Oryzias latipes: one gene and its partners. The protein of the gene in region 1 purifies or fractionates together with the protein of each later gene. This does not show direct contact. Links are inferred from orthologs where the notes say so. Each region holds a gene or a part of one and is shown on either strand. Other genes may lie near its edges. The genes, in order: hmgxb4, c14h17orf49 and nucleosome-remodeling factor subunit BPTF.

Region 1 (5,149 bases):
AAACACAAATCAACTCACGCAATAAATCCTTCCAGAACATTGGAACAGATGTGAACAATACTTTGGTTTACAGCAGATACGTTCAAATTTCTGCCACTAAGGCTCATCATCATCTATCAAAGGCGACGTTGGAGTCTTCTTCAGGTCATGGAGCGCTGAGTTCCTTTATGGCAGCCAAGACTTTGAAGTAAAATCTAGTGGAGAATTTTCCATAAGAGCCATCCAACTGTGAAACGCCTCAGGCCGAGCACAGCTAACATGAAGACACGTGTAGCCATGGCACTCATGCACTGACAAAAGACCCCCCCTCTATGAATAGATGGCTGCCCTAAATACGAAAAGGCACCAACAAAAGAAGAAAAAACATGTTCCTGTTTCTGACTATGCGTTGAACTGCAGCTGTTGAACTGCAGCTGCTGACTTGGGAAGGTAATTGTGATTGGTGTAAAGATGAGGCCATAAATGCTCTCATTTTTGCTTCCGGGTTAGTGGTTTAAAGTCACAACTGTTTTTTTCAAAATAGACTTGAGGGATGCAATAAGTTTCTTCAAACGTTTAAAAACTTGACATTAGACAAACATTTTAAACATAACCTAAAACCTAAATATATGTAAATATATATTTTTTTAAAAATATAACCAGTGCCCTATGATAAGATTTACTATATTTTTCTCTATAAATCATACATACAGAAGATATTAAGATGATTTCACCAAAAAAACATTGCATAATACTTGATAGAACATAGGAGTTGCTGATCTGTGCATAAACTCACCTCCAAATCCTTTGCTGTGCTTCTTTTCTTTTCCGCTTTTCTCCTGTCTGTCCTTTTCTTTGTCCTTTTTCTTCTTGCTTTTTTTGCTCTTCTTCTTCTTTTTAGACATGTGCGAGTACGAATCATCTATAACCAGCTCGCCAGCCTCCAGCTCTCCCCCAGACGAAGAGCTGTCATCCCCCATGCCCCCTCCGTAGTGACCTGTGCGAGACAGAAACCCAAATTGATTTGCAATCACGCCAAAAGCCACCGGAGGAGCCGCCTTCATTCCACGTACCTTCCACCTCCACCTCTTTCCCCACAATAGGGAGAGGCTCTTTACTCTGCTGCAGCTTCTTCTTGGGGGACTTTGACGTCTGCCCTCTTTCCTTGTCCTTTTCTTTGCGCCCTCCACTTTTGGATGAGTGCGACACAAACGGGAAGCCCTCCGGTTCCTCCTTCTCTGGAGACATGATCAGCTTCATTTTCAGCCCGTCAGCCTCACGTAAAGTCAAAGGCTCTTCTTTGGGAACTCCGCCATGAAAGAGAGACGACTTTGAAGATGATGACGAGTGCTTCTTGGAGGAAGAGGACACGGACTTGGAGTGTGAGAAGGAGTGGCTTCCTTTGATGCTCCCGCTGCTCCCGCTCTCACGCTTCCGCTCTTTGGAGGAGTGCGAGGAGAAGGGCGGGTAGGAGGGTTTCTTGTGCAAATGAGGACTGGGGTCTGAGCCTGTGGCAAGGGGAGAGGTAATGGCCTGAAGGAGGCCCATCGCTGTATCTGTCGAATGTGACGATGACGGGGAATGAAGAGGTGGAGAGCGTTCTGCAGACTTGTGCTTTTTCTTATGAAGAGGTGGAGCTGAGCCCTCGTGGTCTGAGAAGAAAACAAATACCGTTTTTTTTTCCTTATTGCCCGCCATCGACTCATGACTTTCCAGCTGTACAACCCCTCACCCCTGTAATAGTAGTCATCACTATGCCTTTTCTTCTTTTTGTGCGAGTCCCCACCCAACATGAAAAGTTCTGAATCCTGTTATGCATCAAGAGAAAGTCCATTTAAGCCATCACGCTCTGCTTCAACATCATGTATTCAGGTAGAGACAACAAACTTACCTTCGGCCTTTTCTTGGATGTCTTTCGTACCTGGGCAGCGATTTCCTCTTCCTCTCGTAACAGATCCTTGTAGGACCTCCTCTTCTCCCTCTGGCTTCGCCCGGCAATGAGTCCTCTGTCTCCCTCCATCCCCATTTCTGAAAGATTGAGTGAAGATCATTCCTATTTGGGTCCATTTCTATTTTTAAAAATGGCTATCTAAATAAATTAGTTTAATTTCTCACTTGAAAAAATAATAGAATTTTTTTTGTTTTTGCTTTTTAAAATATGTGACAGTGCAGAAGTGTAATGAGGAATGACTTTACTTTGCTCCCTTACCTTTTATTTCCTCATATGACATGGTTTCTTCTTTATGATCACCTGTCCTGGGATGTCTTGGTCAACATTAACAGCAGGTTCTCACCTGTAAGACAATCACGTGACAGATTATGTGAAAAACACCTCAACGTTTAGCTAAACAATTGCCAAAAGACAGTTTGTCTTTGATATACAGGCTGCTGTAGTGTATCAGGGGGGAAAAAAATCGAATTTTACAGTTTTTTTTTCTCTCTCAAAATATAATCTCTTTAATATGTGCATGGCGGCTCCCTTGACGGATTTCCCCACAAGAAAGCTGGTTAAGTCGCCATGGTGTAACCAAAAAGAGTATACAAGCAGCAATCCAAGAAAAACGACAAAATAATAAGCTAAGTTGTAACTGCTAGTTAATCAATTTGTAACAAACGAGTATAAATATTCAAAAATGAACTTCCCGCCTTCTACCGCAAGCATACACAAACACACCCCCTTTCTTTACACTTTGGCAGCTCAATGTCTCCCATGTGCCCGGCTGGAAAAATACGTGCCACCGACTTTACGTGCAGCTGACAGGCAAAACAGCTAAGGAAAGTCCGAGGCTTTGACTACTATGTAGGCCGAGGTTGGCTCAAGTAGAAAAAAAGCAGCGACTGACTTGAAGTCTGAATTGTTTATATGTCCACCGGCTCTATATTGTTTGTATGTATCGTTTTAATTGACCAGACGCAGACAGTAATGTGTTTATTCAGTTTTACTACCTCAATGGGATCGTCAATTTACGCGGGTCCGTCCGCCATCTTTGTTATCAGTAAGCAACAATACGTATCTGAAGGGGCGGAGCTTCGACCATTCGTCCAATTTGTGTGGAGGAGCCATCGACTGTAAAAACATGGGCGGGGCACCAGCAAGACATGAATGATTACTCCTACTTTATTACTATGTTCATAAAAAAATTTATACATTTTTTAATTCTTTTAAACATTTGATTAAAAAACAACAAACAATTGATTGACTTTTTTAAAAATACATTTATTTGACATACACGGACCAACACAAGCAGCATCAACGATAATTTGGCACTAATAGAACTAAAGCTATTTATTCGTTCACAATAATTTCAAATAACAGCAAAATTCATATTACTTTACAACAGAATCCACATACAAACAAGCACATTAAAAAGAAAACAAAAAAGACATTTTATAATATATCAAAACTTAAAAATCCTTAGAAAACTTTTCAATAATTATTTCCCAAATTAATCCAGAACTTTACAATTAAAGGCAAGAAAAAACAGGATTTATGAGAAAACATTCAATACTATTCTCATGCAAACATGTAAGGGCGTATTAATGTTCTGTGAGCTCCACTTCCATTGTTGCTCTTTAACAGAACATCTGCATTCAAAACAAAAGTCAACAAACAAAGCACTTTTTCCTAATACCTTTAGATTTGAAGCCAAATATTTTAACAAAAAAAGCAAATGTGGTACCAAGCACAGCAGATTTCTATAAATGGTGGCTTAACTTCATTAGAGGTGTAGAACACAGCAGGGCTTGAGGTTTGTGTTTGAGACCGATCCTTTTAGCATTAAACTTCAATTCTTGCCTGAAGACAATTTTTTTAAGGACCTGAGAAGGCCATCCTCCTCTACCTGTCACCGAAATTCTGTTTTTGGAGACTGAGGGATGTAAAGCTAGCCAGCAAATCAGTTACTTCATCCACCTGAAAGAAATAAAAGGTATAGTATAATGGATGGAACCAAATATATTTACCATATATTCACTATATATTCACTCTGAACAAACCCACCGACTGTCCAAAACTAAGGTTTAATGGGTGTTTATCATAAAATTACCAACCATCAGCTCCAACACCGTATAACTGTCAAGCATTATAGCAGAAGGATGATGGCTTGGGCCTTATTTGCAGAATAATTCTTTACACTTGACCACAAACTTCTTTGTCAACAATATTCTAGAGCACATGTATCAAAGTCATCCAAACCATCAAGATATTATATCTAGCCTGCAAGATAATTTTAAACTATTGATCATAATGGCCCAGCAATATCCCACGCAGGGATATATATTAAGGAGACTAAGGGATCAGTTATTATGACCTCTGACATTATTTTTTTGGACTATACCACATTGTACATCACAAGGGGGTCAGTCATCACCCTCTCCCTCCCCCTCATTCATGGTGCAGAAATAAATAAACATAACAGGATAAAATAACTAAGGGCAAAACAGAGTAAAACGACAGTGGCTCAGGCGGATGAGCGGGTCGTCCAATGACGGGAGTGAATGAATAATGGACACAATGTAAGCGCTTTGAGTGTCTTGAAAAGCGCAGATAAATTCAATCCATTATTATTATTATTATTATAAAACAGCCAGATGACAAAACATATAGACAAAGACCCACACTTTGCAGACAGCCAAAGGGAATGGTATCCCACAATTCCCCAAATTCCTTGCGCTGCCAGATCTGACAACAGGCCCAATCACAGTGTATCTGTGACCTTCACTATAACATTAGCCACAATCCCATCATGCAGTGCGTCAGCTGCCTTTCCGAACATACAGTAAGTGTTGCCAGACTGGGGGGACTTAGATTCTAAATGTGCAGGTTAAACTAGCTAACTAACTAGATCTATTTGGATTTGGTTCGGTGGTTCCCGGTTGAAACAGCTCTCAGCAGGGACGGCAGGTGAGCTATCTCCTCACCTGTAAACTATCTTCTCCATCGTGAGGAACTAATATTAGAGTAAAAATGTGTCCACAATCTGTTCTCTTAAGGCCTGTTCACACCGGGACGAATTCCGCCGGCGATTTTCGCCGACGTTTAACGCCTCGTGAATAAACAAAGTTCACCAATGAGAGTGTGCACACCGACGCGAAAAAACGCGTCAAAGCGTCAAAAAAAAACGCCTCGGGTTCGTTTTTTTTTTTTGACGCCTCGCGTCGATATCTATTC
Region 2 (5,146 bases), on another chromosome or scaffold:
CTTCATTGAGCCGGGACCTCCAGCGTGTATTGAGGCGGTTTGAGGCCGAGTGTGAAGCGGCTGAGTGAGGGTCAGCACCGCTAAATCTGAGGCCATTGTTCTCGACCCGAGAAAGGTAGCTTGCCATCTCTCGGTGGGTGGAGTGTCCCTGCCCCGGGTAGAGGAGTTTAAATATCTTGGGGTCTTGTTCACGAGTGAGGGGAAGACCGGAGCTTGAGATTGACAGGCGGATCGGAGCAGCGTCCGTAGTTATGTGGTCGCTGTATCGGTCCGTTGTGGAGAAAAGACAGCTGAGCCAAAAAGCAAAGCTCTCAATTTACCGGTTGATCTTTGTTTTCCAGTAAAGGAGTTTTTAAAACAAATCTGCCCTTAAAACAGGTGAAAACTGTCAACATATTTGGTATAAACAGTCCCTGTCTCAGTGAAATGTTGCCGTGTGTGCAAGAACCCGTGGTCTGGTTGTGTGGGGCCCTGCTGACGCTCACTCTTTAAAGATGTCGTCCTCAGTGAACGGGACGTCCTCAATCAGCACGGCAGACTTGGTGCTGAAGAAGATGCCCAGCATAGCCTGTCAGACATGAGGGGAGAATGTGAGACACTGCAGCAACAGAGACAACAAAGAAATGTTCCTAACAGGGATGTTCCTAACATCAAACCTTCAGAGGATTATGGGCTTTCTCTAACTTCAAACTTTGAAGGTTGGTTTGAACCCGTTTCTGCCCCAAACAGCTGAGCTTCTCCACCATTTTTGGACATTCTTGATCCAATTCTGCCTCTGCTGATGAATCTGACGAGTTTGCATTTTATTTTAGCTTTTTACAATAAATATCTATATATATTTTTTCTTGTAGTCTTAACATTCTCCAACAAACTTCTACGTAAAACAACTCATTGTTTAATTATTTCAGCTTCTTCTTACCTTTAGCTGATAATCAAATGTCTACTTCTCCAGCAGGTTGACGTTCACCAGAACTGTCTTTATCTAAGGTCTAAAACCAGAATCTTTGGACTTTTTCTTTAAATAAATGTGTTAGCTGCATAAATCTGTGACCTTTTGTCTTAACCCCTTCCCCTCTGCACGCTGCCGCATCACATGACACCAGTTTTAGTCACGTGATCCACGGTAGGGAAGTGGAACAGAGGACGTTTGCTCGACAAAACCAAACGCACATTAAAAAAACTACCGTACTTGACAAAACCCCACTTTCCTGATATACTTCTTTTTTTTCATGTCAATACATTTTATGTATAATCTGCTCAGTTTAACATTTTCTGTGCTGAAACAATAAAATGCTCTTCAGAGCATAAATCTCGGCCAAAAAATGTAAAAGCTCCAGATAACAGAGCTAAAGAATAACAATTGAACATGTGTTAATATCAAATAGTGAGTCAGATCTCGAAAGAGTCGCTCCTGTTCCCAATTTCCATGCTCTTCTCGTTCATTTAAATGAAGAATCCAGTTATTAGACGCATCATCTCCATTACACGTTAACCTGCTGGAGCCTACACTACACTGTGGCCTTGGTGGGACCCGTCTATTACCTGCCTATGTGTTGGCTATTGGTCTTTAGCCGTGATTCTTTTTCGTGCTCGTTTTTAAATATTTTTTATTATTATTAAATAACTGAAATAAGTAAAATCGTCTATTTAATAAATTGACTTAATCGTTGACTCGTCGATAACCCAGGAATTAGTCAGTCGTGTTCCTGTCAGGCTAACTCACCAGCATGATCACCCCCCAGATGCTAATGACGATCCCGCACGCGGCCATCTTCGGCCCGCAGAAAAGAAGCGACGGCATGACCGTGCTGGCGAGTCGGTGGGAATGTCAGAATCGGGTATTCTTCTCCGTTCGAAGCTTTGAGGAAGCCAGGAATGAGGAACGAGCAGTGTAGCCTCACTGTCAGCTGATCATCCCCGTTCGGGTTTACTAGTCATCCTTCGGCTGTTTTCGGAAGCCATCCATCGTCCAATCACAAATCAGGCTTTTACCGACCCGCCTCTTCCTTTGAGATTGACCAATGGCGCTCAATTGTTGTCATCGCACATCAACCTCCGCATCCTGTCTGCCCACCTTTGTTGTGTGTTTCTTCTGCTAGATGATTTTTCCACATATTCAGAATTTATATCAAAATATAAACACAAATCTTCCTCTTCGGAGTCTGCGCAGTTTTGATAAAGTATCCTGCAGCCTCCATGGAAGCCCGTTCACCGCCGCGACATTAGAAGCTAATTGTGGCTAACGGGTTTCTTCGTGTTTTTGTTTTTATTGTTGTGGTTTTGATTGAGAACACAACCATCTCCGGATAAATGACGTCTGCCTCTGCTAAGGTAAGCCGCGTGAGCTGAGTCTCGTGCGCGTAAACTCGTATTATCTTTATGGCGGTTGCAGCTCCGTGCGCATGCGCGTGCAAGCAAATGAGGCGTTTTTAAGGTTGCAGCGGGAATGTTAAGACATCTGCGCGAGGCTGAATGACATTTGTATTAAATAAAAACGTTGAATATTTCTTCACCTCTTCGAGTCTGAACACCTCCACTGATCCAGTTTGTGGTTTTAGTTTTGATCAGTTTTATAGTTTTGAAAATATGAAGCAGTTTAATGCTCCATAGAAATGAACAGAGACCCATTTAAGGTCTTTTTGTTTTTGTTCAACAGTTCAGCTTCAAAGTTTCCTTCAGTTGTTGTTCAGTATCATCAGAAAGACCTCCTCCTGTCAGCTTTCACTCAGAAAAGCACGGATCCTCCTTCATTTGTAAAAGGAGGAAACCTAACTACCTCTAAGCCTCCAGAATCCGGGGACCCTGATGAAAGCGGCTCTTGTCTGCAGGTGGGGGAGATCTTCTCGGCGGCTGGAGCGGCCTTCACCAAGCTGGGGGAACTTACCATGCAGCTGCACCCGGTGTCGGACTCCAGCCCTGCAGGGTGAGACCTCTAGCCCGTTCTCCGGTTAGCTCGTGCTGCTTGTTCTGAAGTTCACCTGCCCCCCGAGGGCGGGGCCTCACAGGCTGATTGGGTCTGATTAATCTGGTTTTGGGTCTGAGCTTCTCTGGTATAAAATGTTTTCAGAAAGGTTTCAGAAAGCAGATCCTGCATGGTTCCAGAATTGTAGCTCTGGATGATCTGGAGCATCAGAAAAAAAACCTGTTCTGGATCAGACCAGACCTAGTGTGGATCTGCCCCCAAACAGTTTCATTTGGAATCTGCGCTGTTCTTCCTCACCTCTTTGAGAGAAAGAGGAATCCGGACTGTTTTGTTCTTGAAATAGGAGAATCGGAGGACCAGCTCCTGAAAGATGGACCCAGACCTGCTCTGATCTTGTAAATCCAGACCTGCTGCCTTCAGACTGATCAGCAGAGGTTCAGCGTGTCCTCAGTCACTGACCTGTCTTCATCCTCAGAGCCAAATGGACCGAGACGGAGATTGATATGCTGCGCTTGGCGGTGCGCCGCTTCGGAGACGACCTCAACAACATCAGCTCCGTGATCAAAGAGCGCACTGTGTAAGTCAAAGAGCAGTCGCATTCTTAAGCAGAGCCTCATGTCAGAGTCAGAACCGGGCCGGACGAAGACCTGCACCCTGCTCCAGACTCACGCTGAACCCTGTCTGCATGAACCCCACTGATCACAGCAGCAGGAGGAACCAAAGACCTTCATCAGGGCTTTCAGAACTAGATTCTGCCTGACAGGGCGGGGTGGGGGATAGATTCTGACAGAACTGAGAGCTACTCTTCCTCATCACGGAGACAAAGACATTTATGTTCCTGCCTGAGATCAGAGCTCCTCTCGTTCCTCCAGCCAGTTACTTAGAGTGGATCCAGGTTAGATAGTCTTTCTGAACACGACAGAAAAGCTGCAGGGAGGTTGGTTTATGGCCTTGAGCAAACATAGAGAGAGGAAGAAGAGCTGCAGATGGACCGAAGCTCAGAACCAGACCTTAGACCTTCAGATCCTTTCCGCTCTAAGAGAACAGTTTTAGGGATGAAGGTATCTCTGAAGCAGTCGTTCTCCTTTCCGCCTGTTTGGTTTCTTCAGTCTTTCTGTCCTAAACATCTCCATACATCTGAAAGAAGCCTTCATTTAGTCTGTAGTCTCTTCTTATTGGTTGACAGCTGCCATTCGTCCTGCTCCTCCACAGCGCTCAGATCAAGAGCACGGTAAAGAGGAAGCTGTACGAGGACAGTCGAGTCCCCATCTCCTCTGAATCCCCGAAGAAGACCGTCAAGAAAGCAGCGGTTTCCATGGCGCCCGCCACCCCAGCCATGATCACCGTGCCGAGCTCGCAGGTTGTTGTAGCCACGGGGATGCAGAACAACCCTCCTCTGGCCCCACCCATCAAGAAACAGAAGACTGCAGGTAGGCGTGAGGCGGGTGCAGCTCTGGTCTGAGCACGGCGTCGTCCCGCCTCCTGACCGCTGTGTTGCTCCTGCAGACGTGACGCTCAGCGCTCTGAATGACTCGGACGTGAACAGCGACTTGGTGGACATCGAGGGACTCGGTGACGGCTCTTCCAGCAAAAAGCTCAACTTTGACCAAGGTTGGTGGGGTCAGGCAGCGGGCCAATGGCGCCCCCTGCTGGTTACCCGTCTCACACCATTGTAATGACCATCGTTTCTTGTTTCCTCAGAAAGTCTTAACCTGGACTCCAGCCTCATCATGAACTCCGGCGACCTGCCTCTCCTGTCCCGCTGACCCCCACCCCCCCACTGAGATCAAGGCTTACATCATGACAAACGCACTCTGGTTTTCTGGCGTGCAGGACACGATCTTCTCCAGCACGGAGTGGAGCGGACACTTTGGGTTTAAGAACGCCGGCTGGAGCTTTTGTTTCTAGATTTCAGCAGAATGATGTCTTCTTTGCTGCTGGGTTTGTGTTTGGAGAACCGCTGTTATCATAAAGAATAAAGAGGAGTTATAGATGAAGATCCGCCCGCTCACACGCTCATTTCCTTGTGTGGGACACAATCACAGCAGGTCCTCTGCAGGCTCATGTCCAGACGTTTTAACCAAAGGGTTCTGCTCCTTCAGGTTTTAAAATATTGCCTTGTTTTATGCTCTTTCAAAATAAAAGGCAAAAGCTTTAAAGACTTCCTGCCATCAGTTTGGATCTATCGTAAACGTCTTCCCAGTGGGAAAAAAATCAACAAAC
Region 3 (4,381 bases), about 360 kb from region 1:
GGGCGGTGCTGGGTATCAGGGTGGTGTTGTGTGTCAGGGCGGTGCTGGGTATTAGGGTGGTGTTGTGTGTCAGGGCGGTGCTGGGTATTAGGGTGGTGTTGTGTGTCAGGGCGGTGCTGGGTATTAGGGTGGTGTTGTGTGTCAGGGCGGTGTTGGGTATTAGGGTGGTGTTGTGTGTCAGAGCAGGGATGTGGGTACTGGTTTGGTTCTGTGGGGGCTGTGAGACCACGACTTGTCTAGGAGTCACACTCAGGCTTGAGGGAGGCTGGATTGAAACCGATGGAGAGGGGGAGGTTAAATACTGCGCTCCAACCAAACCCAGTGACTGGGTAGGGACAGGTGATGGTGCAGTGGCAGGGATCTGTGTTTGTAGGGCAGTTTGAGCCACAGCCTGGGGCAGAGCAGGTGAAGTAGCAACCACTGGGGTTTGAACAGAGGCAGAAACTGGGCTGTGGGCGGAGCTTAAAATTTGTGATGGGCTTGACATGTGTGTAGGAGCGGGCAGTGGTGCCGTCATTTGTGTTTGGGCCATGGAGGATGGAGTTGTGTGGACCTGTGCTTGGACTTGGGTGGGTATCTGGGTCTGGGCGGGGACAGGTTTTGCAGGAGCAGCAGTTGGGGAAGGGGCAGCAGAGGAGGACGGGGGCATAGGCGTGAAGAGGAAGCGCTGCACCTGACCATTGGGCATGGCGGCCTGCATTAACTGCTGACCAGGACCGGGGATGACAGTAACGCCCTGTGGGATGATTTGAAGCTGCCCCTGGGTTTGACCTTGACCTTGGATCACCACCGTTAGTCCTGGGTTTCCTCCCTGCATAGTTTTAGACAAAACCCATCTTCAGCCTCATAAACGACAACATTCAAGGTTAAATGAAAAAGGGGTTGTCCTTTACCTGTGCCCCCTGTGTCAGCTGCATAAGCTGAGCCATCGTCAGCTTGACTTGACCCTGCTGGGGTTTTTGGGCCGGAGCAGCAAAGTTCTGTCCTGCAGGGGCAGGAGATGCTGCTGCAGAACCTGTGACGGCTGGTTGATGATTACGTTTCATCTGGGTCAAAGCCTGCTGAGGTGAAGCTGCACCAAGAGTTTACATTTGATTAGTTCTTTTTTTTAACATACAACACAAACAACATTAGTTTGCAGAAGTTGAAACCTTGTTGAGCTGCAGCTGAATTTCTCATGGTGGAGGTAGATGGAGAAACGGGCGCCGCTGTGCTTGTGGTCGTCAGGCCTCCCGTGGTGACGGTCTAAAAACAAAAGTTCAAACATTAGTGAGCGTCCTTTGGAGCTGCGTTTCATTAAAAGCAAAGCTGGTGGGGTGAGCGTCACTGCACCTGCTGCTGAGCGTTTGAGGACGGGGGCGCAGATCTGAGGTTGATGTTGCCCGTTGTAGGGTGTAGTGCGCTGTAGGTCCTAAGGTTTGCTGGAGGCCCAGATGGGAAAATACTGACAACTTTCTGCTGACCTGCACCTGTTGATGAGAGGAGAAAGATGGATGATGAGGACAGAGCAGCACCCTTTTGAAGTAAATGCCCTCAAAAAACAGCAGTTTTATTTTAGACCAGAAGTAATTCAATGAAACGTGTATGTTTGATTTTCGACAAGAATTCAAAGAAATATGGCTTTTTACTGAAAAACAAAAAGAGAGAAAAATGGTGAGAAATCCTGAGGTATTTATTGAGCGGCGGGCGCAGTACGATTCTCTAGAGGCAGCGTGTTTTCTGCAACTTTTTTTTCCTGCTTGCCCTGTCCAGCAGCAAACAGATGAGAGCTGCAGGCCTCTGTTACAATAGTGGGTTCAATAGCGGGTTATGAATCTTCTGACAAACGAGGTGTATATTTGTATAAACCCCTTTTGGATTTAAGACTAAACTTAGTAATGAGTAATTTGCACTGATTTCTTGTTAACTGGACGGGAAGGCAAAGAGAAAGACAGTGGGATGTTAGAGATAGAGGATAAAGGAAGTAGAGGATGAAAAGAGGCAACAAGTAGCTGGAGGTTTCTCATAATTACGATCAAATGTAGATGACAGTCAAAAGTAGGGGTCGACCAATTACCAGTACTGATTTATTTGTTTTTTTACTGACTTATTTATTTTTAAATGAACAAAGTTATTTGCTGGTGTTTGTTTTATTCTAAATTTTGATGCCAATATCAAAATTTGCACTTTCACTGCAAATGAATATCAGCACCAAATATTGGTTACTGATAATAATAATTAACGACCCTGACATTTTTTTAAAAACAACACCTCGATCAATCTCCAGGGGAGCCAGTTTAGCTCGTGCTGGTTTGCGGCGCCTTCCGTCCGTGAAACCCGGGTTCGACTCCGGGCTGCTCCCTGTTCCCTTCTCTACCTCTGCCGGTTCCAAGCCCGGTTTGAGAAGGTTGTGTCAGGAAGGGCATCCGGCGTAAAACATTGCCAAATTTACCATGCGACTCATTCGCTGTGGCGACCCCTGATGGGAGAAGCCGAAAGTGGAAGACCTCGATCAATCTCCACAGACACACTCAAATATTACAAACATACCTGTTGGCTCTAAAAAACCATCACACACATACATCAACATGTACACAATACAAATACAGCTTTCAAGCTCATGCTTGTGCAAACAAACACACACAGGTCAAGCATGTTTCATTCATGCTCGCATAATATTTGCGAAAAGTGAGCGGGCAAAGAGGCGAAAAGTTCAAATATTGGAACTTGCATCCTGTCAACCAATCAGGGACTCAGCTTTGGTCCATGACACGTTGATGATCAGCAGCTAAAGTCCAAAACCAACATGGAGACTTGGAAGCTGATTGTTGCTTTTTGTTCCCCTCCTAAACTTTATGATATTTTCTTATTTGGATCGAGACAATAACAAAAAAAGGTCCTCTGAATTTATGTTAATTTTTTCTCCTTCCTGTGACAGAAAGTCATCAACCTGGGTCACAGAGACATGGAAGCACCACTGAAAGCGCCGTCATTCAGACGCAGCTGCTGCAGTAGATGGTGAAGCTCGCCGTACCGCGAGAGTCTCTGAATGATCTCATGAACCCAGACGTGAAGACGTGGTGACCGATGCTTTTGTAGAGCTCTTCTAAATAAATAATCCTGGTCTCTCAATGTCATCCGCGTCTTTCACGTGCCAGCAAAACTATTGATAGTAGCTCCTCCCACACGCGGCAGGACACACTTTTGGAGGAGCAGGGAATCTGACGTGCGTCAACAGCTGTGGCGGATGCAGATTTGCTGCGTGAACCGCGCTCGGTGTGAAAGCAGCATCAAAACATCTTCATATCAGCAACATTTGGAAGGCATGAGCTCCAAGCACAACCGTTTCCTGCTCTCTGGAGTAGGAAACGGTCTTCCCAGCAGAGGGCAGCAGGAATGCCGGTCCGGAGCCGCTGCCAGCCGAAAGGAGCTGTGCCACGTACCATGAGGTCTGTGGTGTCCAATCCCAGGAGCTGGGATTTGGAAAATCTGATGGTTCACTGGAGTTCAGATGATTCCTCTCAGAGTGTTATTCAAAGAGGCTGTAAGCCCATTTGACCAACATTCTAATGTTAAAAAATGAAATGTAGTTTCCCTTTCGGCTTTTCCCATCAGGGGTCGCCACAGCGAACGAGTCGCATGGTAAACTTGGCAACGTTTTACGCCGGACGCCCTTCCTGACGCAACCTTCTCAAAGCAACTGGGCTTGGGACCGGCACAGAAGTAGAGAAGGGAACAGGGAGCAGCCCGGAGTCGAACCCTGGTTTCACGGACGGAAGGCGCCGCAAACCAGCACGAGCTAAACCGGCTCCCTAATGTTAAAAAATGAAATACTGGGGAAAAACTGAAAACTAAAATAAAACCGAGAAAGTAGTCAAAATAGACTTTAACTCCTGATAACCTCCTCCACCTCCTCCTCCTCCTCCTCCTTCTGCTGCTGCTGCTCACCAGAGCTGTTGGTGGTTTGACCCTGTTTAACCCAGGAAGCAAAGGACTGGTGGAAGTTCTTGTCCTGCTGGAAGGGAACTGTGGAGCCGAGCTTGGAGGCCAGCACCATTTTAGCTCCGGTGGGCGCCTGTCCTGCCCTCAGGGTCGTGGGGGTGCTGGCTGCAGTGGTGGTGATGGTGGTCGTGGTGGAAGTGGCAGCAGTCGTATTTAGTCTCTGCTGCTCGAGGCGTTTCTACAAACAGAAGACGTTGGTGCTGGTGGTCAGACGGGTGCGGATGTGGAAGCAGAGAAGGCAGGAGCCGCTCTGGCCGAACTCACCTGCTGAGCTGCCAGTCTGGCCTGCTTCAGCTGATGCTCCAAATGGGCCTTCACTTCATCTGCTGTCTTTAGAGTGCTGCTGCTTTTGGAGGAGTCTATTCCTTGGGACTTTTCCCTTTCCAGTCTGCAACAACAA

The links.
Region 2: the proteins of hmgxb4 (region 1) and c14h17orf49 purify together in Homo sapiens (affinity purification with mass spectrometry; 4 studies listed by BioGRID and IntAct, with this or other methods). This does not show direct contact. The link is inferred for Oryzias latipes from reciprocal best matches to the Homo sapiens genes HMGXB4 and BACC1.
Region 3: the proteins of hmgxb4 (region 1) and nucleosome-remodeling factor subunit BPTF fractionate together in Homo sapiens (co-fractionation; 3 studies listed by BioGRID, with this or other methods). This does not show direct contact. The link is inferred for Oryzias latipes from reciprocal best matches to the Homo sapiens genes HMGXB4 and BPTF.

What each region holds. Positions count from the first base shown.
Region 1 is NC_019866.2:21,061,411-21,066,559, reverse strand, and holds the start of hmgxb4 (HMG domain-containing protein 4), read right to left. Parts: upstream 3,009-5,149; 5' UTR 2,926-3,008; intron 2,274-2,925; 5' UTR 2,211-2,273; coding exon 2,189-2,210; intron 2,008-2,188; coding exon 1,871-2,007; intron 1,788-1,870; coding exon 1,712-1,787; intron 1,632-1,711; coding exon 1,053-1,631; intron 977-1,052; coding exon 776-976; intron 1-775. Other genes in the region: ankrd54 (ankyrin repeat domain-containing protein 54), read right to left, coding at 3,818-3,892. UniProt on the Homo sapiens protein: Negatively regulates Wnt/beta-catenin signaling during development.
Region 2 is NC_019872.2:23,756,093-23,761,238, reverse strand, and holds c14h17orf49 (chromatin complexes subunit BAP18), read left to right. Parts: upstream 1-2,004; 5' UTR 2,005-2,310; coding exon 2,311-2,331; intron 2,332-2,828; coding exon 2,829-2,923; intron 2,924-3,398; coding exon 3,399-3,500; intron 3,501-4,135; coding exon 4,136-4,353; intron 4,354-4,429; coding exon 4,430-4,534; intron 4,535-4,624; coding exon 4,625-4,689; 3' UTR 4,690-4,922; downstream 4,923-5,146. Other genes in the region: rnasek (ribonuclease kappa), read right to left, coding at 486-568, 1,724-1,801. UniProt on the Homo sapiens protein: Component of chromatin complexes such as the MLL1/MLL and NURF complexes.
Region 3 is NC_019866.2:20,704,426-20,708,806, forward strand, and holds part of nucleosome-remodeling factor subunit BPTF, read right to left. Parts: intron 4,370-4,381; coding exon 4,246-4,369; intron 4,160-4,245; coding exon 3,928-4,159; intron 1,470-3,927; coding exon 1,333-1,469; intron 1,246-1,332; coding exon 1,152-1,245; intron 1,073-1,151; coding exon 894-1,072; intron 812-893; coding exon 1-811. UniProt on the Homo sapiens protein: Regulatory subunit of the ATP-dependent NURF-1 and NURF-5 ISWI chromatin remodeling complexes, which form ordered nucleosome arrays on chromatin and facilitate access to DNA during DNA-templated processes such as DNA replication, transcription, and repair.